2 linked regions of the Ovis aries genome follow. The protein of the gene in region 2 purifies or fractionates together with the protein of the main gene of each other region. This does not show direct contact. Links are inferred from orthologs where the notes say so. Each region holds a gene or a part of one and is shown on either strand. Other genes may lie near its edges.

What was found.
Region 1: the proteins of SLC25A6 (region 2) and LRRK2 purify together in Homo sapiens (co-immunoprecipitation; 3 studies listed by IntAct, with this or other methods). This does not show direct contact. The link is inferred for Ovis aries from reciprocal best matches to the Homo sapiens genes SLC25A6 and LRRK2.

The regions. Positions count from the first base shown.
Region 1 is NC_056056.1:146,809,488-146,812,987, forward strand, and holds part of LRRK2 (leucine-rich repeat serine/threonine-protein kinase 2), read right to left. Parts: coding exon 3,308-3,500; intron 1,489-3,307; coding exon 1,417-1,488; intron 543-1,416; coding exon 421-542; 3' UTR 1-420. UniProt on the Homo sapiens protein: Serine/threonine-protein kinase which phosphorylates a broad range of proteins involved in multiple processes such as neuronal plasticity, innate immunity, autophagy, and vesicle trafficking.
Region 2 is NC_056080.1:6,639,203-6,643,394, reverse strand, and holds the start of SLC25A6 (ADP/ATP translocase 3), read right to left. Parts: upstream 2,801-4,192; coding exon 2,690-2,800; intron 1,002-2,689; coding exon 515-1,001; intron 1-514. UniProt on the Homo sapiens protein: ADP:ATP antiporter that mediates import of ADP into the mitochondrial matrix for ATP synthesis, and export of ATP out to fuel the cell.

The sequences.
Region 1 (3,500 bases), on a different chromosome or scaffold from region 2:
TTTATTCCACTTCGCAGAATATCTAGATGGTAATCCAGCAATAGACCAGTCTTACCACAGAATGCAAAATAAACATAACCTTCATTATGAGTAACAAAACAAAAAATTATCCACTTTGTAAATTTTAGTATGAGTACTACAATCAAGTACTTTTTAGATTTCCTTTTATTATTTAATCCATAAACTTAATTAGGATATATAAGAAATATTACATTTAAAATAGTTCTTTAAAATATATTTTCACTGGTAACAATTTTGTACATTTTTACAAAATAAAATCTATAAACATTCCTTCATATACACATTAGCAAACAGCAAGTAGTAGAAATTATTATTTTTATATATAAACATGTTTTAAAGATATTTACAAAAGAAGATAACCATTTTTCTATCCAAAGATAAAGATTTCCAATATCCCTCTTATTCAACAGATATTCTTCTCATTTTTTCAGCTAATTCTTTTCTTACTTCAATATGTTTTTCTAAATTTTGCACTTCATGTGGAAGATTGACGTCCCAAACAGACAAGCAAGATTGTATCTCTAGAAAATTAAAAAACAAATCATGTTACAAAGATCTGCCATGAAACATTTTTATCTTTTGTTAATTTATATTTAGCTGTTGGACCAACGTGTATGTGTGTATATATATGTGTGGGGGTATGTGTGTGTGTGTGTGTGTGGTCAGCCGTTCCTGACTCTTTGTGGCCCCATGAACTATAGCCCTCCAGGCTCCTCTGTCCATGGAATTTTCCAGGCAAGAATACTGGAGCAAGTTGCCATGCCCTACTCAAGGGCATCTTGCCGACCCAGAGATTGAACCTGGATCTCTTAATTCTCCTGCACTGGCATCTCAGTTCTTTACCACTAGTGCCACTTGGGACTACATACACACACAGACACACACACACACACACACACACACACTATATACATATTCATATAAAAGTAACATTAAATTATTACCATTTATAAGAAATTATATTTGGAAAGTGTTTAAGATGCATTATAGAACTAACTACTAAATTTTAACAATGGACCTTTAGTAACATAAAGCTTCATTTTCTGAAAGAAAAAAAGCCTTTTCAAACACTTTTCAAAATCAGACTATGATTTGGATAATACGGAGTAGGTAAGATCTAAGGGAAAATACCCATGTTGGGTTTGAGCTAGTTCTCATTTAATAGTGGTTGCTAGCTCTACTTCACCTGAAAAATATATTACACTGCTAAATCACTAAAACTTAATTTTGAAGATTTATATCTAAATTATTTGAACTATAACAAAGCTATCAATTAAAAATGCCTAAAGTTGTATGCATATGTAATATTTACCTTAAATGTATAAAAACATAATATGTTATAATCATTCATGTCATTTCAGTCTGCTTGGAATACAGTATCCTATTAAACATTACCTTTTTGGTGTTGTGTACCTTCAGCACTTTTCCGGTTATACCCCAAAACCAGCATGACATTTTTAAGGCTTCCTTTATTAAAAAATAAAAGAGTTCTGTTAAAACAATATAATAAGTTGGACTTTAAAGAGTACAACAGTTCATATTTTAAGACATAAAAACCTTGGAAATTAACTTACAATTCCATTACTTAAGAGATCCCTCAACTGAGTTTGAACAAAAAATACTCTGCAAGGTGATGAACAAAAAATACTCTGCAAGGTGACCAGTATGTTTTTAAAGTTAGAAAATTTGATCTACCTTCTTGTTATGATTCTTATTGTGAGAATCTGAGAAAACAGCTTAAACTCGCTGCAAAATGGGCTCAATAGTTATATATTACTCCTCCAACAAAAGCTATATATGAAAGAGATAGTGTAAGTTCCTTTTACAGGAATGTATTAAAGAGAGACAAATGGAGTTTATGGTCTAGTGATGAGATTAGTTACTAAACAGTAACTAAGTTACGCAGAATGAAACAGCACACACAAAACTTTGAGGTAGGATGAAGCATGGTATTTAAGAGAGGCTGAACTTTCTTCTAGAGCAGAAAGAGCAAAGAAGAATACGGCAAAAGACAAGGGCAAGAGAGCTGAGTTGAAGCTAGATCAAACCATATATTGTATATTATGTTTAAATTATTTAAAAAATCAATTAAACCCATTGAAATTGCCCTATAATGTCAGTAATGAACAACCATTTGGATACCAAGTACATACAAATTAAAGGCTACAACAACCTTGGTGAGTAAGACTAGAGAGACAACCCCCCATCCGCCTACTACTTTGCTTGCATGGACAAGTGTCCTGGCAGTCGTCAATCATGAGGAGCCCGTAATTCTAACTTTCGTGCAACTCTGACACCTATTCATGGGAAATTTGTGAGACTGAAGAGAAACACTGGTCTCTCCTTAATACGTTACTGTAAAAGGAGTTTACTGTTGTCTTCATCCTGTTTCGACATTTTTATTATTCATTTGCTAATTACATCCGTTGATGTTGTTTAGTAGCTAGATCATGTCCAACTCTTTTGTGACCCCATGGATTGTAGCCCACCAGGCTCCTCTGTCCATGGGATCTCCCAAACAACAACTGGAGCAGGTTGCCATGGTCTCCTCCAGGGAATCTTCCTGACCCAGAGATCAAATTCACGTCTCCTGCATTACAGGTGGATTTTTTTTTTTTTTTTTTTTACTGTGGAGCCACCAGGGAAGCCCCAAAGTTACATAAACTCTAGTTTTATAGAACTTAATCCCACTTTTGTGATCAACTCTGTATAAATACTAAGTCTATTCCCTAAAGCAAATAACTAGTCAAAATAAGAGTTAAGTGTGAGCATCATGTGCTATCATGATTTCTTCATAGTTGAGTAGAAAAGTAGGAACAACAGAAAACATAAAGTAAATAAAACATAATGATTTTCCAATATTTGCATATAGATTATGAAGTATATATTGCTATAAGAATATACACTGGTAGCAATATATACTGTACAAAAATATAAATTTATTTACAGAAAGAAAAACTAAATGGTATTCCTTAACAAGGGTAGAAAGTTTAAACTAAGATCAAAATAGTCATCTGCTTAAATTTCTTTGTCAAAAAGTTAAAAATGCTTAACATATATTTTTTGCCTTGATTATAAAGAAAAGAGAGAAAGTAAGACCTAAATTTAGTGTTCACTTGCAATACCTGCTTCTCTTATGGGACTAAAAACATCTACTCACTTCATGCTTTTAAGGCCCCTACTCAAAATTTCTGAGACACTTCATACAATGTTTGGAAGTGAAGAAAAAACATATTCTTACAGTCTTAAGAGAATATGATAAAAGATTTAAAGGAAGTAAACTTGCCTAACTGTGCAATCATCATGACTCTAACAGAATCACAAAAGTTGTGAATTATACGTATAATTCGACGAGTTGAAAGATCAAGGAGTAAGATATGGCCTCCTCCAGTTCCTATCCAGAGAGCAGTGTTCTTCTGGAGGCAGAGAGTCTTCACTCTCCCAGAATAAGACATTTTGTGTTTCAATTCCTTGCTTAC
Region 2 (4,192 bases):
CTAAAAGGAAGCTGTCTTTGGAAATGAGGGTGGTGGCTCAGATGCTAAAGGATCTGCCTGCAATGCGGGAGACCCGGGTTCTTTTCCTGGGTCGAGAAGATCCCCTGGAGAAGGAAACGGCAATGCACTCCAGCACTCTTGCCTGGAAAATCCCATGGATGGAGGAGCCTGATAGGCTACAGTCCATGGGGTCACAAAGAGTCGGACACGACTGAATGACTTCACTTTCACTTTCAAGAGAGAATGAAGGTGAAATGAGGTCACCAGGCGGCTCTGGGGCCAGACAGACACACCCAGAGGGAGGAGCTCATGAGGACTCAGGGAGTCCACTCGCCCAGGAGAGAGCCCCGCCCACCCCTGGGTCTCAGCCTCCAGCTGCTGGGGCTGGGAGCCCTCAGCTATCAGCAGCTGAGGTGCCTCCGCCCTCCCCCCAGGACAAGCCCCTGCCCCAGGGAGCAGAAGGCCCGGGCCCTCCCGGTGCCGCCCCCACCGTCGCCTCCGGCAGGGAGCTCACCCTTGGCGGTGTCGTAGATGCCGAAGTAGGCGGCGCGGTAGATGATGATACCCTGCACCGACACGTTGAAGCCCTGGTACAGCCCGCGGATGCCGTCGGACTTGGTGATCTTCACCAGACAGTCTCCCAGGCCCCTGAACTCGCGCTCACTGCCCGACTTGCCCACGTCGGCCGCCAGGCGGGTTCGGGCGAAATCCAGCGGGTAGACGAAGCACAGGGAGGTGGCCCCGGCCGCGCCGCCCGAGGCCAGGTTGCCTGCGAAGTACCTCCAGAACTGCGTGTGCTTGTCCACGCCCCCCAGGAAGATCTGCTTGTACTTGTCCTTGAAAGCGAAGTTGAGGGCTTGCGTGGGGAAGTAGCGGATGACGTTGGCCAGGTTGCCCCGCCAGAAGGACAGCACGCCCTGCTCCTTGGGGATACGCACAATGCAGTCCACGATGCCCTTGTACTGCTTGTCGGCCGCGATCTGCTTGCTCGCGTGCTGCACCTGGGGGGCGGCGGAGGGAGACACAGGGCTCTACCGGGGGCCTGGGCACACCGCCGAGACTTAGAGGAGATTCTGGTGAAGCTCAGACAGCTCTGAGTGACTGCTCCAAGAGGTGAGGGAAAGGTCGGTATGGGTGGGATTCTGGTCAACAGAAGTTCATACGAGCTAGGACATATTTTCGCGGAGCGTTTCTTACAGTCTCAAGGTGCATTCGTCACCGTGAAGGTTTTTAATGCTTTTTCACACACGACAGACAGGGAAGCTTGGCGTGCTGCACCCTGGGGCAGGAGTGAGGGGGAACAGGGCTTCACCCAGGGCCTAGGGCAGACCTCCATGGCCACTTATAAAAAATACACGACCCGAGAGTGGCGAGTTACGATCTGGGGCAAGGCGAGGACTACACCCCCCGGGGGAGAGCAGCTCAGATAGCTGAGAGATTGAGCCAGAGGTGAGACTGGATGAGATTCTGGTCAATGGGAAGTTCCTAGAGCGAGCACACACTCTCGCAGAGCCTTTCTCAGAGCCTCAAGGAGCACTCGTCACAGTAAAAGTTTTTAGTGCTTTTCTAAACGATGAACAGGGAAGCCTGGCGTGCTGCAGCCCATGGGGTCGGCAATGATCGGACACATCTGAGCGACTGAACTGAAACATGAGGTGGGCAAGCAAGAAGTGGGCTCACAATCAGCCACTGGAAACATCTGTCTCATGACCTGGCCTGTCACTTTTTCCCAGAACCCGCATGCCTCATTCCTGCTCTCCACCCTGAGGTCCTTTCACGGGGTCTGAAGGTCAGCAGCACCTGACTCAATACTCATAGAGACGGCTCAGACGGTCAAGAATCACCCTGCAATGCAGGAGACCCGGGTTTCACCCCTGAGTCAGGAAAATCCGCTGAAGGAGGGCATGGCAACCCATTCCAGTATGCTTCCCTGGAGAATCCCATGGACAGAGCAGCCTGGCAGGGCTACAGTCCATGGGGTCGCAAGAGTCGGACACGACTGACACTACTACCGCTTTCAGAGGTAAACAGCAGGTGCCCACAAGCGCCAATTTGCGGTTGACACCTGCAGAGGTCACCAACGACCGACGTGTCGTTAATAAGACATTTACACGGGGCCTTTAAGCTCTCCTAGCATCCTTCCTGGGGAATCCTATTTTCTTTAAGGGTGGCAATCCCATCGCAACGCTAATTCCACTGGCTCCCCATTTGTGACGCTCCAAACAGACCAGCGCAGTTTATTCCACCTCATACCCGCGCAAACAAGTGCGAACAGTGGGCAAGAAGACCAGTACAACTGCGGAGACTAAAGATCTTTCCCCGTCCACGGCCCAAGGGGACGGGACCCCACCCACAGCCTCGCAGGGTCCGTCCACGCGGCTCTCCCCCCGCGCATGCGCACTCCAACTCTGCAGCCCCCCAGTGCGCAGGCGCGGAGGGCGCCGCCGCCGGCCGCCCGACGCGCATGCGGCGCCCCGCGCCCCAATGCGGACATCGCCGCCGGGCGCCCCCCGCGCATGCGCTCCCTCGCGGCGGTGCCCACGTGACGCGACCCCCCGGAAGCCAGCCCGGCCGGCCGCGCGCGGACAAAGCGGCGCGACCTCCCCGCTTCCGGTCCCGGGGCCGCGCGCGCGCCCGAGCTCCCCGGGGCCCGGCGCCGGCGGCCGCGCGCCAGCAGCCTGACACGCACCTGCAGCAGCAGCTTGACGCGCTCGATCGGGGCCACGGCCGTCTTGGAGATGGCGGCGGCGATGCCCCCGGCCAGGAAATCCTTGGCGAAGGAGATGGCCTGTTCCGTCATGGCGGCGGGCGGAGAGCGGAGCGGAGGCGCAGAGAAGCAGAGAGAGAGCCGGAAGGTGAGCGCCGCTGGCTCAGCGCTGCCGCCGCCGGGACCGAAAGGACAGGGCGGCCACCGCGCAGCCGCTAAGGGGCCCGCGCCCCGCCCCGCGGCCCCCGCGCGCCGCGCCCATTGGCTGCGCCGCCGCCCGGGCCCCGCCCCCTGGGCGCGCGCACCGCCCCCGCGCGGCCTGCCGGGAGCGGCGCCTCGTCCCGCCCCGTGGGTCCATACGGCCTTGCCCATTGGCTGCGCCGCCGCCCCGGCCCCGCCCCCTGGGCGCGCGCCGCGCCTCCCGCGGGCTGCCGGGAGCTGCGCCTCGCCCCGCCCCGGGGGCCCCCGTGCGCCGCGCCTATTGGCTGCGCCACCACCCAGGCCCCGCCCCTGGCCCGCGCGTCTCGCCGCGGGGCATGTCGGGAACCGCGCCCCGCCTCTGCGCCGAGCGTGCCCGGGGCGGGTCGCGCTGGGTTGCGTGGCGGCCACTCTGACCTTTTCAAGGTCATGCTTGGCCTGGCGGCGGCGACGAACGACACTGGCGTAGGGGACAGGCCGGGCTTTGCGAAGGCCCGCGCCCTCTCTTCTCCCAATCGTAGCACCGGACGCTCGGGTCCCCAGGCTCGTCCACTCTGGCCGGTCCGATCATTGGGGCCCCGGCTCCGCGCCGCAGACCCCCGAGTCCCGCCCGCGACCCCCACCCCCCCACCCAGCCGCCCCGAAAGGTCCTGATGACCCCCGGCGCCCTCCAGGCCCCTGCTCGCCCCGCGGGACGAGCGATGCAGTCTGTGCGTTCTGACCCAGCGTACGAGACGGCCCCGAACCCCGGCCGGCCCGGCTTCGGAGTAGGGTTTGCCTGTGCGCAGCCCGGGAGACCCGGGTCCGCCCAGGAGAGCGCCTCCGGAGGACCCAGCACCCCCAGCTCTGACCCTGATGACTCTGGGTGCATTTGGGGGTCCCGGGATGGAGGAGGGCCCGCTGCATTTCCAGGACCCACGGGGGCTCAGACTCGGGGTGTCCCTGTCAAGCCGGGCACTGCGACTTGGGTGGCGGGGGTGTCTCCTAGAAGAACAGGGGCACGCGTGTTGGTTTCACAGGCTCACTGACACGCTCACGTGTGTATACGTGTGTCTACAGACATGCACACGTATGCAGCTGTTGCACGTACCCACGCGCCGACAGGTGTGTGCATACGTCACACGCCGCGGTATAGGCCCCCTGCCTCCAAAGGCGTGTCCGGAGACCTTGATGTTTGGAAGGCCTTACGCATGCAGTGTTCGCTCAGTCGTGTCTGATCATTTGTGACTGTGGAAGAAAAAAAAAAAGTGCAACTTGAGAGTTGTGAGTTAAGTTTTATTGGGGGCA